Linked DNA regions of Schizosaccharomyces pombe. The protein of the gene in region 2 purifies or fractionates together with the protein of the main gene of each other region. This does not show direct contact. Each region holds a gene or a part of one and is shown on either strand. Other genes may lie near its edges. The genes, in order: efg1, imp1, pun1 and rpn7.

Region 1 (3,742 bases), on a different chromosome or scaffold from region 2:
GGACGCGGTTATAGGAAAGCAATACTTCATGAGCGGAATCCTCTGAATTGATTGAGTTGTTTCTTGTCGTTAGAAAGACTTTGGAGGAACAAGAAGACGAGGAATCGAAAGAGTTTTCATCGACAAATTCGCTGACATCAAATTGTGGGACATCAGAAAGTGTGTTAAATGGTGAAGAGTTTAAAGGATACAGTTTTTCTTTGAAGGAAAATATCAAATCATTATAAGGGTTAAATGAAAAGGGAATGACCTCATCATGGACAGAAAAAAGTTTCGGTTGTTCGTTTATGACACCCAAAATTTGAACATGAGTTGGAAAGGCTGTAGAAGGAGTAAAAAAATCAATGCCAGAACATTGTGAATTTGGTTTAACAGGATATTTCTTCTCATAATTTACAAAGACAGAATTATTTGCGGATCCTTCATTTCCATTGACACAAGGCAATAATTGACGAAGTGTAATCGAATTGTTTGACAAAACAGCCAATTGTCCAGGTTTCCATTCAGAATATTTCAGTGCAAATAATTGTGGATTTTTGGGCTTTTTATTTTCGTTCCGTAAAATAATTTGTAAATAATTATCGGATTTGAAGTATCGAGTATCAAAAATCGCAATGTCACCATCATAAGAATTTGCGGCAAAATAGTTAGGAGAAAATGGATCAACAACTATATTACTATAATATTGCGTATTGACGGAAGAAACTGAGTCTAGTTGCTGCCTAGTATCAATTATATGGACAGAACGCGAAGTTGATCCGGTAAGCAAAAGAGGAGTGTCTTTCTTATAACAAACGGAAGAAACTCCGTCTAGAGTAGAAGACTGCATTAAGGGACTACTCTTCGGGTCAGACAGTAATGAATTCAAGTCCCATAACTTCAAGGAAGACTCGTTTCGAGATTTTGCAAATCCAGCAACAAGATGTTCAGTTTCAGAAAATGCCAAACTATTGCAAGGGCGAGCATATCCAGGTGTTACTACTGCTTGAAATTCTGGATGCTTAACAGAAAGCAATGATATATTTCCGGTAGAAGAACCAGCACCCAATATTTCATTGTTTCCGTGAAAAGAGTCTATACATTTAACATTTTTCAATGATCTCCAAATAATGTGAGTTTTCCAATTTACTTTAGGGGAAGCTTTGACGGCGACATATCGAATCTCATCTGAGGAGCCGTTAACCCAAAAATAACAGCCATTCCTCTTTTTACTTCTATTTAACATTCTCTAAAGAGAAATTTGACAATTAGGCTTTACCAGAAACGCCCAAAATACTGCATAAACATTAAACAGAGCTTGATCGAAGCGTTCTTCAATCTCAACCACTCGTCAAACATAACGTTTAGCACTAATTTGCTTAACGATAGCTAACAGAAATGCCTTAACAACGGACTGAAAAGAGGCTGTCAAATTCAAAGGTTTTCTTTTTGCTATTGATGATTCTCTTAACAATAGTAGTATTAAAATACAGACCGGTTGCTAGATTAACTATCTTTTGCATACTTTTTAATCTCTAGGGTGACTTCGGTGTCGAACAAGCGATTCTTTGATGTACTGTTGAAAGTCTAAGCTTTTAAATCACTCCACAAGTACAACATATAAATCTACCTTGAATAAGTGTGAGTGAATCAAATATTTTAATCATAATTACCAGCTTAAACTTATATATAAAAGTAACGTGTCACTTGAGAACCTAGCAGCTGTAAAAATTGCAGTCCTTTAAGTTTACTACTGTTCTTCACCAGAACTAATTGTTTATGGTTTGAATTTCTATTTATCTATTTTATTGAGCGTTTTAGCATGCCAAAATTTAAGGGCCCTGGACTTTCTGTGCTGAAGAAAAAAATTCGCGACAATGAGAGATTATTGAAAAAGGTGTGTAATTTTTTTGCTGGTTTAAAAACATCTGCGGTTTCAGTGTGTAATAAATATTACCTTCCTTTTTATGTTAATGAATAAGAAAACTAACTTCCTTTAAGGAGAATTTGCCTGCAAACATTCGTGTTGAACATGAACGAGCTCTTTTGGGTCTACAAGAGCAGTTGTCTATGGCACAGTTAGAGCATAAAAAGCAAAAGATTTTTGAAAGATACAAAAAAGTTCGATTTTTTGGTATGAAACATATATAAAAACAGCATTTTTTGTTCAGTGAACTTGCTTACTGATTTTCTCAGAACGTAAAAAAGCAGAACGACGTATTAAACAATTGGAAAAATCTTTGAAGGATGAAACTATGGATGATGAGAAACGCAAGCAGTGTGAGAAATCGATGCGTAAATGTCAAATTGATCTTATGTATATTAAAGTATGTTTGTATTTTCGACTTCATTTCAACTATCAACTTGGCTAAGATACTAACCTATTTAGGAATACCCCCCTTTAACAAAGTATGTTTCACTCTACGCAGAAGGCACATCTGAACAGACCGAAGAAACTCGAAATCGCATTTGGGCCGAGATGGAAGAACGCTTTAATAGTGGCAGAAAACACAAAATACCATCTTCAGGTTCCAACAGGGTTCCTGTACAGGAAAAAAGTTCAACTGGTGGTGATTTGGAAGATGAATTTTTGCAAAGATAAATGAAAACTTGGATTGAGGTTTTGGAAATAAAGGGATTAAATAGACGAAACTGTAATAATATGATTCATTCTTTTTAATAAAGGTTGTGAAGTTTCCATATGAGTTATCGAGCAAGGTATTCTTTTTATGCAAGTTTATTTAAATTTTTTCTATGTCATATTGCAATGGGATTTGCTAGGGTACCAAAAATAGAACTTGTGGGAGAGAAGCTTTTGGATCCTAAGGTTCACTGAAGATATTTTTCACATATTTCATTCTATAATCTAATATGCTAAAATTCGAATGATATTTCATGGAATATCAAATTAATAAAAATATAAATTTACAAGAATTTAAGTAAAAACAAAAAATTAGGACTTTCATTTTGTTCTGTTTTAGGTGGTCGAATTATTAGACAGTTTAATAGTCTTTATCATTGCAGCAGTGTTTTTAAGAGCTCTTAGATGGACTTTCGGTTTTATCATCACAGTACCCTGTTATTTGCCTGGCAAAAAGTTACCTAGTGGGGGTTTAAAAATCAACACCAGTATGTAGTATATACATTTTATAATAATTATTTTTACATTTGCTTCTATAGATTGGTATATTTGAATTTATGGGTTTAAGACCTCAATAATATGGTGTAGTATATTGACTTTGCGCCCTTGGTGGTGTCCACGGATACCTAACCTCCGCACCACACGAAGTTACGACTTGTTTAGTGTCGATATGGCTGAGGGCACAAGCCAAAGGCCATTAACGCCTTTGTCGCAGGCATTTTTGTCAACTAATACTCTTTCTCCTGCTTCTTCCCCTTTAACTTTCCATTCTGAGGCTGCATCTCTGCGTAGAAAACGGTCCAACTTTTTCCCCAAATTAGATGAATTAAATGGAGCTCAAGATGAAGAAATGAGAGGTCTTAATATTCCTGGAGGATCAGGATATCTCGAGAACCGATATGGTCGTGATAAGTTTACGTTTTCTGATGCAGCCGTTAACAGTGCTGGAATGGGAGGGTCTGGCATATTTTCCCACAACAATGCAGATGATGGTTTGGGTGATGGTTCTTCTACGGTTTTACCAAGTTCCCTTAAACAAATGCTGGATCCTGAAATTTCAACTGCCAATAATCCATCTGCAAAGCCTCGTCGAACTCGTCTTCAAACTGCTTGGAAAGAAGC
Region 2 (4,312 bases):
CTTCCAATTGGGAAAAGTTAAAGAAGGTATGAAAGGCTATAGTTTCCATTAAGTCATTTAAGATTCTTGTTTAAGTATACTAACGGTATTGGTTGTTTAGAAACTCGACAGCGCTAAGAGTGGACGGGTTGAAAAAAAGCATTCTAATGAAAAGAAATACCTTAAAAGTGTGAAAGGTAAAAACAATGAGAATGAGAATTCTTATATCGTCGATAAAAAACGCATGAATGAATTAAAGAAATTTGCTAAGGAAAATGATATCCCTGAATCTCAAGTCCTTGACGCATATGGCGTGGATGCTTCCAAGCTTACCAGAAAAACCAATTTGGAAACATTGGGGAAATATATTGCAATGGATTGTGAAATGGTTGGGGTGGCAGATGACATGTCAGTTCTTGCACGCGTCAGTATAGTTAATTATCATGGTCATGTCGTGTATGATACTTATGTCCGTCCTAAAGAAAAGGTTACGGATTGGAGAACATGGGTCAGTGGTGTCAAGTCATTTCACATGCGGGATGCACCTTCATTTGAAAAAGTACAAGCAGAAGTTGCTAAGATACTCGACAATCGAGTATTGGTTGGACATGCTGTCCATAACGATCTCAAAGTACTACTTTTATCGCATCCAAGAAGAATGATTCGTGATACCAGCAGATTTTCTGGGTATCGGAAATTAGCCAAGGGAAGGACACCAGGGCTTAAAAAACTTGCTGAAGTGATTCTTGGGCGTGACATTCAATCTGGACAGCATTCTTCCGTCCAGGATGCCCAAGCAACGATGGAATTATATAAGAAAGTAAAAAAAGAAATGGATGAAGTTGCATTCAAAGGTTTGTCAAAGTCATAAGCTTTGAATCACTAGACTTCGTTCTGGTCATTTGGGATTTGGGTTTAATAATATGCAAGAAAATGTTTCTTATAATTTTACTGGATATGTGTCAGATGTTAAATATATTTTCGGTTGCTTATAACAGCAATATTGTTTTCATTGGCTCTTATGAAATCGTTGGTTTTCTTTCTTTATTTATCTCTTCTGTTTCCTTCGTTTCTGGTTTTAAATAGTCAATCTATTAATAATTTTTAGTATAAATAAATGATGCATACAACTGAAGGAAAGAAATAATGTATGGAAAAAACAAGGATATAGAGATTTATCAGCTTCGTTTATATGGTCTTCATAATTACTTTGTGAATTAATAAAGTTAATGTTATATAATTAGATTACTTCCTATAGTGTATATGATTTAGAGCATTTTAACTGAATGACGATAATATGTTTTCAAGCGCCGTTAAGTTAATTCCTAAATTTATATAAATACCGAATTAATCTTTATTATCACAAAAAAAATAAAAAATATATATATTAATAATAGCTACCAAATAAATTCTAGTTAGACAATGGACCATTAATGTATACATATTAATAGCTTACAAAACAGATACGGAAGTGTTTGAAAAATAAGTATTTATTCAAAGATTAAATTGCTCAACTATATGTATTATATAATCAAAATAAAAATAAAAATAGGCCAACTTGACAGGTTGTTTAAAGAAAAATTCCATTTGTTTTTAAATTTTGAATTCTTGTTATAGCATTCAGCTTGTTAAAAACCCAAGAAAAATTGGTTGATGAGCTCAATAAGCATGTTGTTTTACCCGTTTTATGGTGCGAAGGTTTCCAATGACAGAACAAAAATGATCTAGAAAGTTTCAACGATTTGAACCGGAAAATGATATATTTCAAATTATTCTAAATTTATTATTTTTGAACATTGTTACCTGGGTGCCGGCTGCTTCTTGGAACGACACAAGTGCTCTTTTACCTCCTTATTCTCATTAAACTCGCAGCAACCACAACTGTCTTAGATAACTAAAAAAAAAAGAGTAAAAAGGATATCAAAAAAGTTTATTCCTATAGAAATGGAATCGAGATATTTATCAGATAGAAGAAGCCGTTTTAAAAGCAAAGGTGTTTTCAAAGCTGATGAACTTCGTCGGCAACGTGAAGAACAGCAAATTGAAATCCGCAAACAAAAACGTGAGGAAAGTTTGAATAAACGAAGGAATTTAAACGCTGTTTTACAAAATGACATTGATGTGGAAGAGGAGGCTGATCAGTCTCAGGTTCAAATGGAGCAACAAATGAAAGATGAATTTCCTAAATTGACAGCTGATGTGATGTCAGACGACATTGAGCTACAATTAGGTGCCGTCACGAAATTCAGGAAATATCTTTCTAAGGAGACGCATCCCCCTATTGATCAGGTAATTGCTTGTGGTGTTGTTGACCGGTTCGTACAATTTTTAGAAAGTGAACATCACTTGCTTCAATTTGAAGCGGCTTGGGCCTTAACAAATATCGCTAGTGGTACCACAGATCAAACCCGTATTGTTGTTGATTCCGGCGCTGTTCCTCGTTTTATTCAATTACTTTCTTCACCTGAAAAAGATGTCCGTGAGCAGGTTGTATGGGCCCTCGGTAACATAGCTGGCGATTCTTCTGCCTGCCGTGACTATGTACTCGGTAACGGAGTTTTACAGCCTTTACTTAATATTCTTCAGAGTAGCGCTTCTGATGTTTCTATGCTCCGTAACGCTACATGGACACTTTCTAACTTGTGTAGAGGCAAAAATCCACCACCTAACTGGTCAACTATTTCTGTAGCCGTTCCAATCCTTGCTAAGCTCCTTTATTCTGAAGACGTTGAGATTATTGTTGACGCGTGCTGGGCCATCTCCTATCTTTCTGATGGACCTAACGAAAAAATTGGCGCCATTTTAGACGTTGGATGTGCGCCCAGGCTTGTTGAACTTTTGAGCTCTCCCAGCGTTAATATTCAAACTCCTGCCCTTCGCTCTGTGGGGAATATAGTAACAGGTACTGACGCGCAAACACAGATCATAATCGATTGCGGTGCTCTCAATGCATTCCCTAGTCTTCTCAGTCATCAAAAAGAGAACATTCGTAAGGAAGCTTGTTGGACTATTAGCAATATTACTGCTGGCAATACCCAACAAATCCAAGCAATTATTGAAAGTAATCTTATACCTCCATTGGTCCATTTACTCTCATATGCCGACTACAAAACAAAAAAAGAAGCCTGTTGGGCTATTTCTAATGCTACTTCTGGCGGTCTCGGTCAGCCTGACCAAATTCGTTACCTTGTGTCACAAGGCGTTATTAAGCCACTTTGCGATATGTTGAACGGATCCGATAATAAAATTATTCAAGTTGCTCTCGATGCCATTGAAAACATACTTAAAGTTGGTGAGATGGACAGAACTATGGATCTTGAAAACATTAATCAATACGCTGTCTACGTTGAGGAAGCTGGCGGTATGGATATGATCCATGATTTGCAATCCTCCGGAAATAACGATATTTATTTGAAAGCGTATAGCATCATTGAAAAGTATTTCAGTGACGAGGACGCAGTTGAAGATTTGGCACCTGAAACCGAAAATGGCGCCTTCACATTTGGCAATGGCCCTCAAGCTCAAGGAGAATTTAAATTTGATTCTCAAGATATGGCTATGTAACGTTTAAATTAATTTTAAAAAAATTTTTTTTGTTCTAATCGAAGCGCACATTATTTACATGTTTCACTTAGACAAATTCTGTTTTCCATTACTGGTGCTTTTGTTGGGTTTGTATTTCTTTTTTTTACCCTCTATTTTTAATTCAATTTAGCTATTTGTGAAGCTAAGTATTTCTATTAGGATTAAAAACTACGGTTAAATAATATGTTTACGAAAAAAATGAGTGTACTACTAAAACAGAGCGGTACAGGTAAATAGCATGATATCACTAAAAATGTTTATATTCGTAAGAGCTGCAACTAGGCAAAATAGAGAAGGGGGTTTAGGATCAAAGAAAATAAAAATAAAAGAAAGCAGCGGGGACGATATACACTGTTAGGTTCAAATGACTTCGACTAATCGGTGAATGCAATTTGAAAACCAATAATGACGCAAATTTTTGCTAATAAGCATATATGCAAATCAAATATGACTGAAAAAAACTGCAGCTGTCTTATCGTATTATGTCCCTCGAAAAAACAATTTAGGCACTAGCTAAGACCTTTTCGATTTCACCGAGACTTTCATTGAGAGCATCCTGTTGGAACTTTTGGGTAGAAACTTTGCTGTTGACACGAGCCAAGACATCTTCAACGAGACGTTCCTGTTGTTCAGCGCGAACGTTGGCTTCGTGATGAACCCAGCTATCCAACACTGATTTAGCTTCTTTAGCTAAAGCAACTCGCTGTTCGAGCTCAAAGATCTCAGCCTCCATACGGGCAGTTTCTTT
Region 3 (3,547 bases), on a different chromosome or scaffold from region 2:
GGCTGAGTCAATGCCGTGTAAAGCAACATACCATATACTCATGTTAAATTCATGAGCATGAGCTTGAAGTGGAACAATTTTGATATACTTACAAGCAATTGAATTCTCAATTTTGTTATATTTCTTGATACACAATGGAAATGTTTCTCGATTTGAATCATTTGTCAATCCAGCTCTTAATAAAGGGAACATCAAATGCTGTTCACGCCCCCCATATACTATAAAACTTAAAACTGTTAGAGGAAGAAAAAAAAAATAAACCGCTTACTCTTTAAGGTTGCAAAGATGGGGAGTGTGGAATTTCCCAAAGGTGATATCGGTAACCAACGCAAGTTTATCAAGTTTCAGAATTACATACTGTTCTTCAGAGTTGTTGGGTTTACATATTGAAGTATTACAGCTCCATCGGCTGTTAGCCTGGTGTGGATTATCGATAAGTATATTGATAGGATGAAATGCTCCAGAATAGCTGGACCAGCTTTGAATGGTATAAGACAATTCTTTACGTTCCATTTAAAGAATCAATAATTATCTTCGTCTGACCGCTATGAGTCTAGCAACAATGTATGTGTATTGGAGAAATCAGGAAAGCACCTAATGTAAACAAACAAAAGAGGCAGTAATGATCGCTTCCTTAAGGTGCTTTACAGTCTTGGTAAGGGTCTAAACTTAAAAGGGAAATTTCAGTAAACAATTATAATTCATTTTGTAAAAGTTGAAATTGGATCCAGTATTGAACTTAACTTATTGACGAATATGAAGAAAGTAGTTCTGTTCTGCCATTCGATATTACAAAAGAAACTCCAACAGCTCTTTCGCATTTCTCCAGAAAAAAAAATAACTATTTTGTCATTATCTGAGAATTTCGCTCATTTATTTGGCAAATTAAATGAATTCACAAACTACCCAATCTTGCGATGGACCAAACCACTTTCCAAAATTTCAATTGTAACTAGAGCAACACAACCATATTAAGTATAAATTATTGGTTAATTAAGTATCCTCGTCATGAAAGCATGGTAGAAGATAATATGGGAAATCTATATGATGTTAGTTTAAATATTATATCTGATTCATTGACGACGTAAATTCCTCTTCTCTATTATATAATCACGGATCTTTGAGAGTCATTAAACGATTAAATGTTAATATGATAATCATATGATTTCTTTTTTATACAAAAACTATATAAAGCCCAAATTATTGTGTTCGGTATCATGGAACGAATACTAAGAAAAGCAAAGCGCTTATGTTGATTTTTTTACTTGGCTATCTAATGAACGCTTTCTTTTCATATATAATGGGGCTTGAAACTCAAGCTGCGCCTATATGTCAGTAATGTACGACACAGCATGCGCCGCTGAGTTCGTATATCAGAACTGTTTCTTTTGCTGCGAAAGAACTGTAAAATTGCTGTCACTGCATCCTTTTCACACGTATAATAGTCGAGCTTGTTGCAAACATCGAAAACGTCCCGCGTTTGGTTTATTTACATTGATATGACCCGTCTGTTTACACTTGGTTGTCATGACAACTTCGCTTTCTCAAAACATATTTTACTCGTAGCGGGCCCTCCGTGTCAATTGTGGCATTCCAAATTTACAGAAGATTAAGACTTTAAGAGATTGCGCCTCTGATGCGTATAAAAGGTTAAGAAACAATCAGCTACTTGCCTTTACGATTGAAAAAAAAAACCAGTTCTCTCTCTTTTGTTTACTATCCATACTATCTTGTTTACTCAATATCCTCGCGTTAAATCGTATTAATTTCAAAGAAATTCGTTTTACAACAGCGTTTTTGAAGTGTTTCCCTCTATTTTTCAGCCGATTTTTTGTCCTTCTTCTTCCCAGCTTCTTGAAGAATTGTTTATTTCTGGAGACTACATATCAGTTTTCCTTATTAATCGTGATATCTATTATATATAATCATATATATTATTCTTTCTTTTTGTCATCCCAAGCAAATTGGTTTTTGATATAACTGTTTGTCAAAATGGGAATGGGGTTCAATCCTATTAAAGCTTTGTTCACTGGTATTGGTACCGTTTGCGTTGGAGTTGGCGCGCTTTTGTCAATTCTATGCATCATCAATCAAACTCAGCATAACATTGCTTTTCAAAATATTTACTTTATTCAACTGAATACTACATCTATCTTTTCTGTCGCCAATCAAACTGCTGTTGTCAATAATACAAGCAACCTACTTAACGAGCTTACTGGAACACTGGTAGACACGCTCGAAACATATATTGATCAAGGTGCTACTGATTTAATCGAACAAGTTGAGCAGGAGATGAAGGACGTGTCTGAACTCCCGGACTGGTACTCCATTGGTCTTTGGAATTATTGTCAGGGAAATTCGTCTGATTATACAAATCCTACTTATTGTAGTACTCCTTCTCCTAGTTATTACTTCAACCCCCTTACAATGCTGGAAACCAGTATTAATAATGCAACTGGTAGCCAAATTAACATCACTTTACCTTCCGAGGTGGATTTAGGATTAAAAGTGCTTAAAGGGGCATGTTATGCTATGCGAGCCATGTATATTCTTGGATTTATTTTCTTTGCTCTGACAATAGTTTCAATCGTTATTTCTTGCCTTCCATTTTTTGGTCCCCTCTTTCTCAACGTCTTCTCATTCTTTGCAACTATTTTTACTTTTATCGCTGCAGTTATCGCAGTTGCAACTTATCGTATTGCAATTTCTGAATTGGAAAAAAATATCGAAATTCTTAACATTCCAATCGTTTTAGGAAAGAAAATTTATGCTTATTCATTCCTTTCAGCAGCTGCTGGCTTAGCTGCTTGTATTCTATATTTTATTGGAAATCTTACATCCGGATACAGTCCACTTTAAGTTGTATCGTCCGTTATTTATTGCCCATTATTTGTTAAAAATTAGCATGTTGTTTTATTTTCCCTTCTTTTTGTATTGATGTCAAGTTTCCTTTTTCTTTCATTTTTATGTTAGTTAGCATTGAGATTTGTTTTTCTTCAGATAGTTACTGTATTTAAAAATATACTTTTCTTTGACCCTTGTAACGTATATATATTGTTATTCAAGTATACTAAATTTTCATCCAAATAATGTTCATTAAGTTTATCAAGTGATTCAAAATGCTCCGTTTTAAACTATTTCTTTGTCTTCGGCCAGTAATTGTTTAATCCATGTAAGATAATCCAGTCCTTCTGAATGTTTGTTCATGTTGCATTCTAAAAACTTTACTATATTAGGACGAACCTGACTCCTCAATAGATCATCGGACGTGACATAAGATTTTCCGTCTGCAACATCACAAAACGCATATAAAACTTGACGAGCACTATCACGATCCTCTAATTCTTCCATCACGATTTCTGTAAAACGCTCATAAGTAACACCCTCTTCCGAGTTAGCAGCCCTGTGAAACAAAGCAGTTCCTTCTTCGGTATCATAAACCAAGCCCAATGAGGCCAATGCGGCATAAAACTCGACCTCATTTAACATATTTGATTTTTTCTTTTCAAAATGGCGAAAGACTTTAGTAATTCCGTCTAGTTCTTGT
Region 4 (3,466 bases), 3.5 Mb from region 2:
ATCAATTTGGGCACCGTACAAAGGATATTGAGGAGCGGGAACCATTACACCATCTGTTGGCCTAGCGATTATCAAAGTCATTATAAGCCGGGCAGCGTGTGAGGCACCACTAGTCAAATATATGTCAGATGGCTCGCAATCAAATCCATCTCTCGCTAAAATATAATTAGAAAATGTGTAAAGATAAAAAGAAAAAAGAATGAATGGCGGAGTCTAAAATCATTTTTTATCGAGCAAGACCCTAGCAGCTTTAATGGGTTGCAGTATTTTTGCTAAATTTCTTAATACAGTCTGCGAATTGTCTCTGTGTCCGACGATCTTCACTCTTTCTTCTTAAAATGCTTACCTCTAATGAAATCCGCAACATGTCGCCTTACAAGCGGAATACCTTGAGAAGCACTATAGGCACCCAAACTTCCAGATTCCTTTAAGAGCATTTTGGATCGTTGTACGACATCCGTAGGGAACAAATTTTGAAACCACTTTTCCTCAGCATGGTCTAACAAGGTAGGGTACTGGCAAAGAGATAAAACCTGTCGAACGAATGTAATAGGAGACTGTCCCATCTGCTGAGGATTACCGATGTTTGCATAGACGATCTCACTGAAAGGATATGAAGAAGGATTTTCAAGTAAATCATCTTGGATCTCGTCCGCAAGAATGGCTAAAGCTCCACGGACGGCGTAATTTGCCTTAAATACTTGTTGATTCAAAGAATTAAGGTCTGAGAACGCATTTTGACAAAATCCATCAAGGTCCGACATTCTTGGAGACTCACAGTTAATATCATTTGGATAATCTGTAAACATAAATATAAAGTAGATAATCGTTATTTGATATTATGTACTTCACTCTTTCTACTGTATTTTATTTGGAGATACTTATCAACCGCTCACTGTATTCACTTATATTACATATACTAATTTTTTCACTAACTTAGCATAATGAACAGAGAAAAAATAGCTCCTAAAAAATACTCAGTGAATGACAACGTTTCCGTTATTTTTATATTTTTATTTTCCATTAACCGGATTATACAGGCTTAAATATGATATTCTAATAAACCATTTTTGTTTGTTTTATATATATTAAGTAAGCAATATTCAATGCGAAAAATTATTTGAATTCCTTTAGTAAGCCCCAACCTATGCTACATGTCGTGTAAACCAAAAAATTAGAACGATGTAAAAACAGAGGTATAGAAGAGATGCTTGCTTATTTGCTTAACTTTTTTGTCTTATAGAATTTGGTTAATTAAATTAATTTAACGATTTACAAGTTTCGAGAAGACTGATGGAATGTTCAAGCACTTGACTTTTCAGAATGGCATATTTCACAAAAAAGAATTGAAAAGAATAAAATTTACGAGTTTTAAGATTCGTTTCTAATAAAATTTAATTAAAACATGTTACTAGAACATAAGGAACAGTGGAAGTTGAAAAGTAGAAAAAGAACTTTTTCTCTTTAGTTGTTTGAATTAAATTTATATTTGAAATTTAAATAAACTACAAAAAATTAACATTTTACTAACTTTTAGATGAGTGAAATGTACAATATGTAGTTTAGTTAGCTGTTGATATGTGTTCTCCCTCTGCAACACTCACACACCGCACCATGACAGAAAAGGCAAGAACCGTATCAGATTTGACCATTTCGCAAGCGATTTTCGAGCTTTCCTCGCCATTCCTTGAGAATAAGAGCCAAAAGGCTTTGGATACGCTTTTTTCTGCCATTCGTGATCATGATTTAGCTCCACTTTATAAATATCTTTCAGAGAACCCTAAAACATCGGCAAGTATTGATTTTGATAGTAATTTTTTAAATAGTATGATAAAGAAAAATGAAGAAAAGTTAGCAGAGTTTGACAAAGCGATCGAAGATGCCCAAGAACTTAATGGAGAACATGAAATTTTAGAAGCCATGAAAAACAAAGCTGATTATTATACGAATATATGCGATAGAGAACGTGGTGTACAGTTATGCGATGAAACTTTTGAACGAGCAACATTGACCGGAATGAAGATTGATGTTCTTTTTTCCAAAATCCGTTTGGCATACGTGTATGCTGATATGAGGGTCGTTGGTCAATTATTGGAAAAATTAAAGCCACTTATTGAAAAGGGAGGTGATTGGGAGAGGAAAAATCGATTAAAGGCCTACCAAGGCATATATTTGATGTCAATCCGTAATTTTTCTGGTGCCGCCGACCTTCTCTTGGATTGTATGTCAACTTTCTCTTCCACCGAACTACTTCCATATTACGACGTCGTTCGATATGCCGTGATTTCTGGTGCAATTTCTTTAGATCGTGTTGATGTCAAGACCAAAATCGTTGATTCACCTGAAGTGCTTGCCGTGCTACCTCAAAATGAATCAATGTCTAGTTTGGAAGCATGTATCAACAGCTTGTACTTATGTGACTATTCCGGATTTTTTCGAACCTTGGCCGATGTTGAAGTTAATCATCTTAAATGTGATCAATTTCTTGTCGCCCATTATAGATACTATGTGCGTGAAATGAGAAGACGTGCTTACGCCCAGTTACTTGAATCTTACCGTGCTCTCAGTATCGATTCCATGGCCGCTTCCTTTGGCGTATCTGTTGATTATATCGATCGCGATTTGGCGTCATTTATCCCAGACAACAAGTTGAACTGTGTAATTGATCGAGTCAACGGTGTTGTATTTACAAACCGTCCTGATGAAAAAAACCGTCAATACCAAGAGGTTGTTAAGCAGGGTGATGTTTTACTTAACAAACTCCAAAAATACCAAGCCACTGTTATGCGTGGTGCCTTTAAGGTATAATTTAACTCAGTGCCTACGTTTAATGAAATATGGTTCAATGCATGTATCGTTTATCTATATTGTCTGGTTTAAACATTTGAAAAGTAATAATATGAAACGGTATTAAGTTTTGGTGCCATGAACATTATTTGTAAACGAAATGTAGAAATGATTAAAGCATACGAATCTTTATTCAACTATTATTAGGGACTAAATAGATAGTTGTGCAATTTTTGGTGGTGTTTACGTATATCTCAAATGTTTCTTCACTCGTAAATACAATGTTGTTTGATGAGCCTGCGACGCGTTCCATTTACCAACAACATTTCGTATGTTAGTGACACTAATTCGTAGCGAAAAGATTTGAAACAATACAAGGTTAAGAGATTAACAGATTGATTTAATATGGAATATCAAGAAGAGGCTTCTCTCGCCTCGGCTGAAGATTCGACTTTCATAGCTTCATCGCCTGTTCAAAGTGTTAGCGAGATGAAGTCTATTAAGCAGAAGAGTTTTCAGTATTTTGATGATTATGAAAAGAATGTCTCAGATAAAACAATTCAATTTCAGAAGCTACAAATGACTGCTAAAGAAATAATTGATGCTTTTGAGCGCGATTCTACTCAACGTACGCTACAAATCGAAAGTTTGGAAAGTAAGATAGGAGAGCAGGAACGGG

Evidence for each region.
Region 1: the proteins of imp1 (region 2) and efg1 purify together in Schizosaccharomyces pombe (affinity purification with mass spectrometry, with the first as the bait; one study listed by BioGRID). This does not show direct contact.
Region 3: the proteins of imp1 (region 2) and pun1 purify together in Schizosaccharomyces pombe (affinity purification with mass spectrometry, with the first as the bait; one study listed by BioGRID). This does not show direct contact.
Region 4: the proteins of imp1 (region 2) and rpn7 purify together in Schizosaccharomyces pombe (affinity purification with mass spectrometry, with the first as the bait; one study listed by BioGRID). This does not show direct contact.

Annotation. Positions count from the first base shown.
Region 1 is NC_003424.3:344,678-348,419, reverse strand, and holds efg1 (rRNA-processing protein), read left to right. Parts: upstream 1-1,741; 5' UTR 1,742-1,801; coding exon 1,802-1,876; intron 1,877-1,980; coding exon 1,981-2,113; exon of another isoform or gene 2,114-2,175; coding exon 2,176-2,306; exon of another isoform or gene 2,307-2,368; coding exon 2,369-2,581; 3' UTR 2,582-3,186; downstream 3,187-3,742. Other genes in the region: GATOR2-SEACAT complex ubiquitin-protein ligase E3 subunit Sea4, read right to left, coding at 1-1,225; RNA-binding protein Cip2, read left to right, coding at 3,291-3,742.
Region 2 is NC_003423.3:3,914,703-3,919,014, forward strand, and holds imp1 (importin alpha family nuclear import signal receptor adaptor Imp1), read left to right. Parts: upstream 1-1,852; 5' UTR 1,853-1,923; coding exon 1,924-3,543; 3' UTR 3,544-3,812; downstream 3,813-4,312. Other genes in the region: exoribonuclease Rex4, read left to right, coding at 1-26, 101-850; F0-ATPase subunit atp4, read right to left, coding at 4,067-4,312. UniProt on the Schizosaccharomyces pombe protein: Functions as a component of the nuclear pore complex (NPC).
Region 3 is NC_003424.3:3,694,474-3,698,020, reverse strand, and holds pun1 (SUR7 family protein), read left to right. Parts: upstream 1-1,585; 5' UTR 1,586-1,992; coding exon 1,993-2,859; 3' UTR 2,860-3,047; downstream 3,048-3,547. Other genes in the region: mde6 (muskelin), read right to left, coding at 1-226, 269-513; ain1 (alpha-actinin), read right to left, coding at 3,130-3,547. UniProt on the Schizosaccharomyces pombe protein: Contributes to the wild-type cellular response to nitrogen stress through signaling pathways that regulate the expression of genes involved in amino acid biosynthesis. Required for wild-type filamentous growth, cell growth, and cell-cell adhesion.
Region 4 is NC_003423.3:429,893-433,358, reverse strand, and holds rpn7 (19S proteasome regulatory subunit Rpn7), read left to right. Parts: upstream 1-1,593; 5' UTR 1,594-1,614; coding exon 1,615-2,808; 3' UTR 2,809-2,966; downstream 2,967-3,466. Other genes in the region: alt1 (putative alanine aminotransferase), read right to left, coding at 1-155, 347-764; mcp6 (horsetail movement protein Hrs1/Mcp6), read left to right, coding at 3,193-3,466. UniProt on the Schizosaccharomyces pombe protein: Component of the 19S cap proteasome complex which acts as a regulatory subunit of the 26S proteasome, involved in the ATP-dependent degradation of ubiquitinated proteins.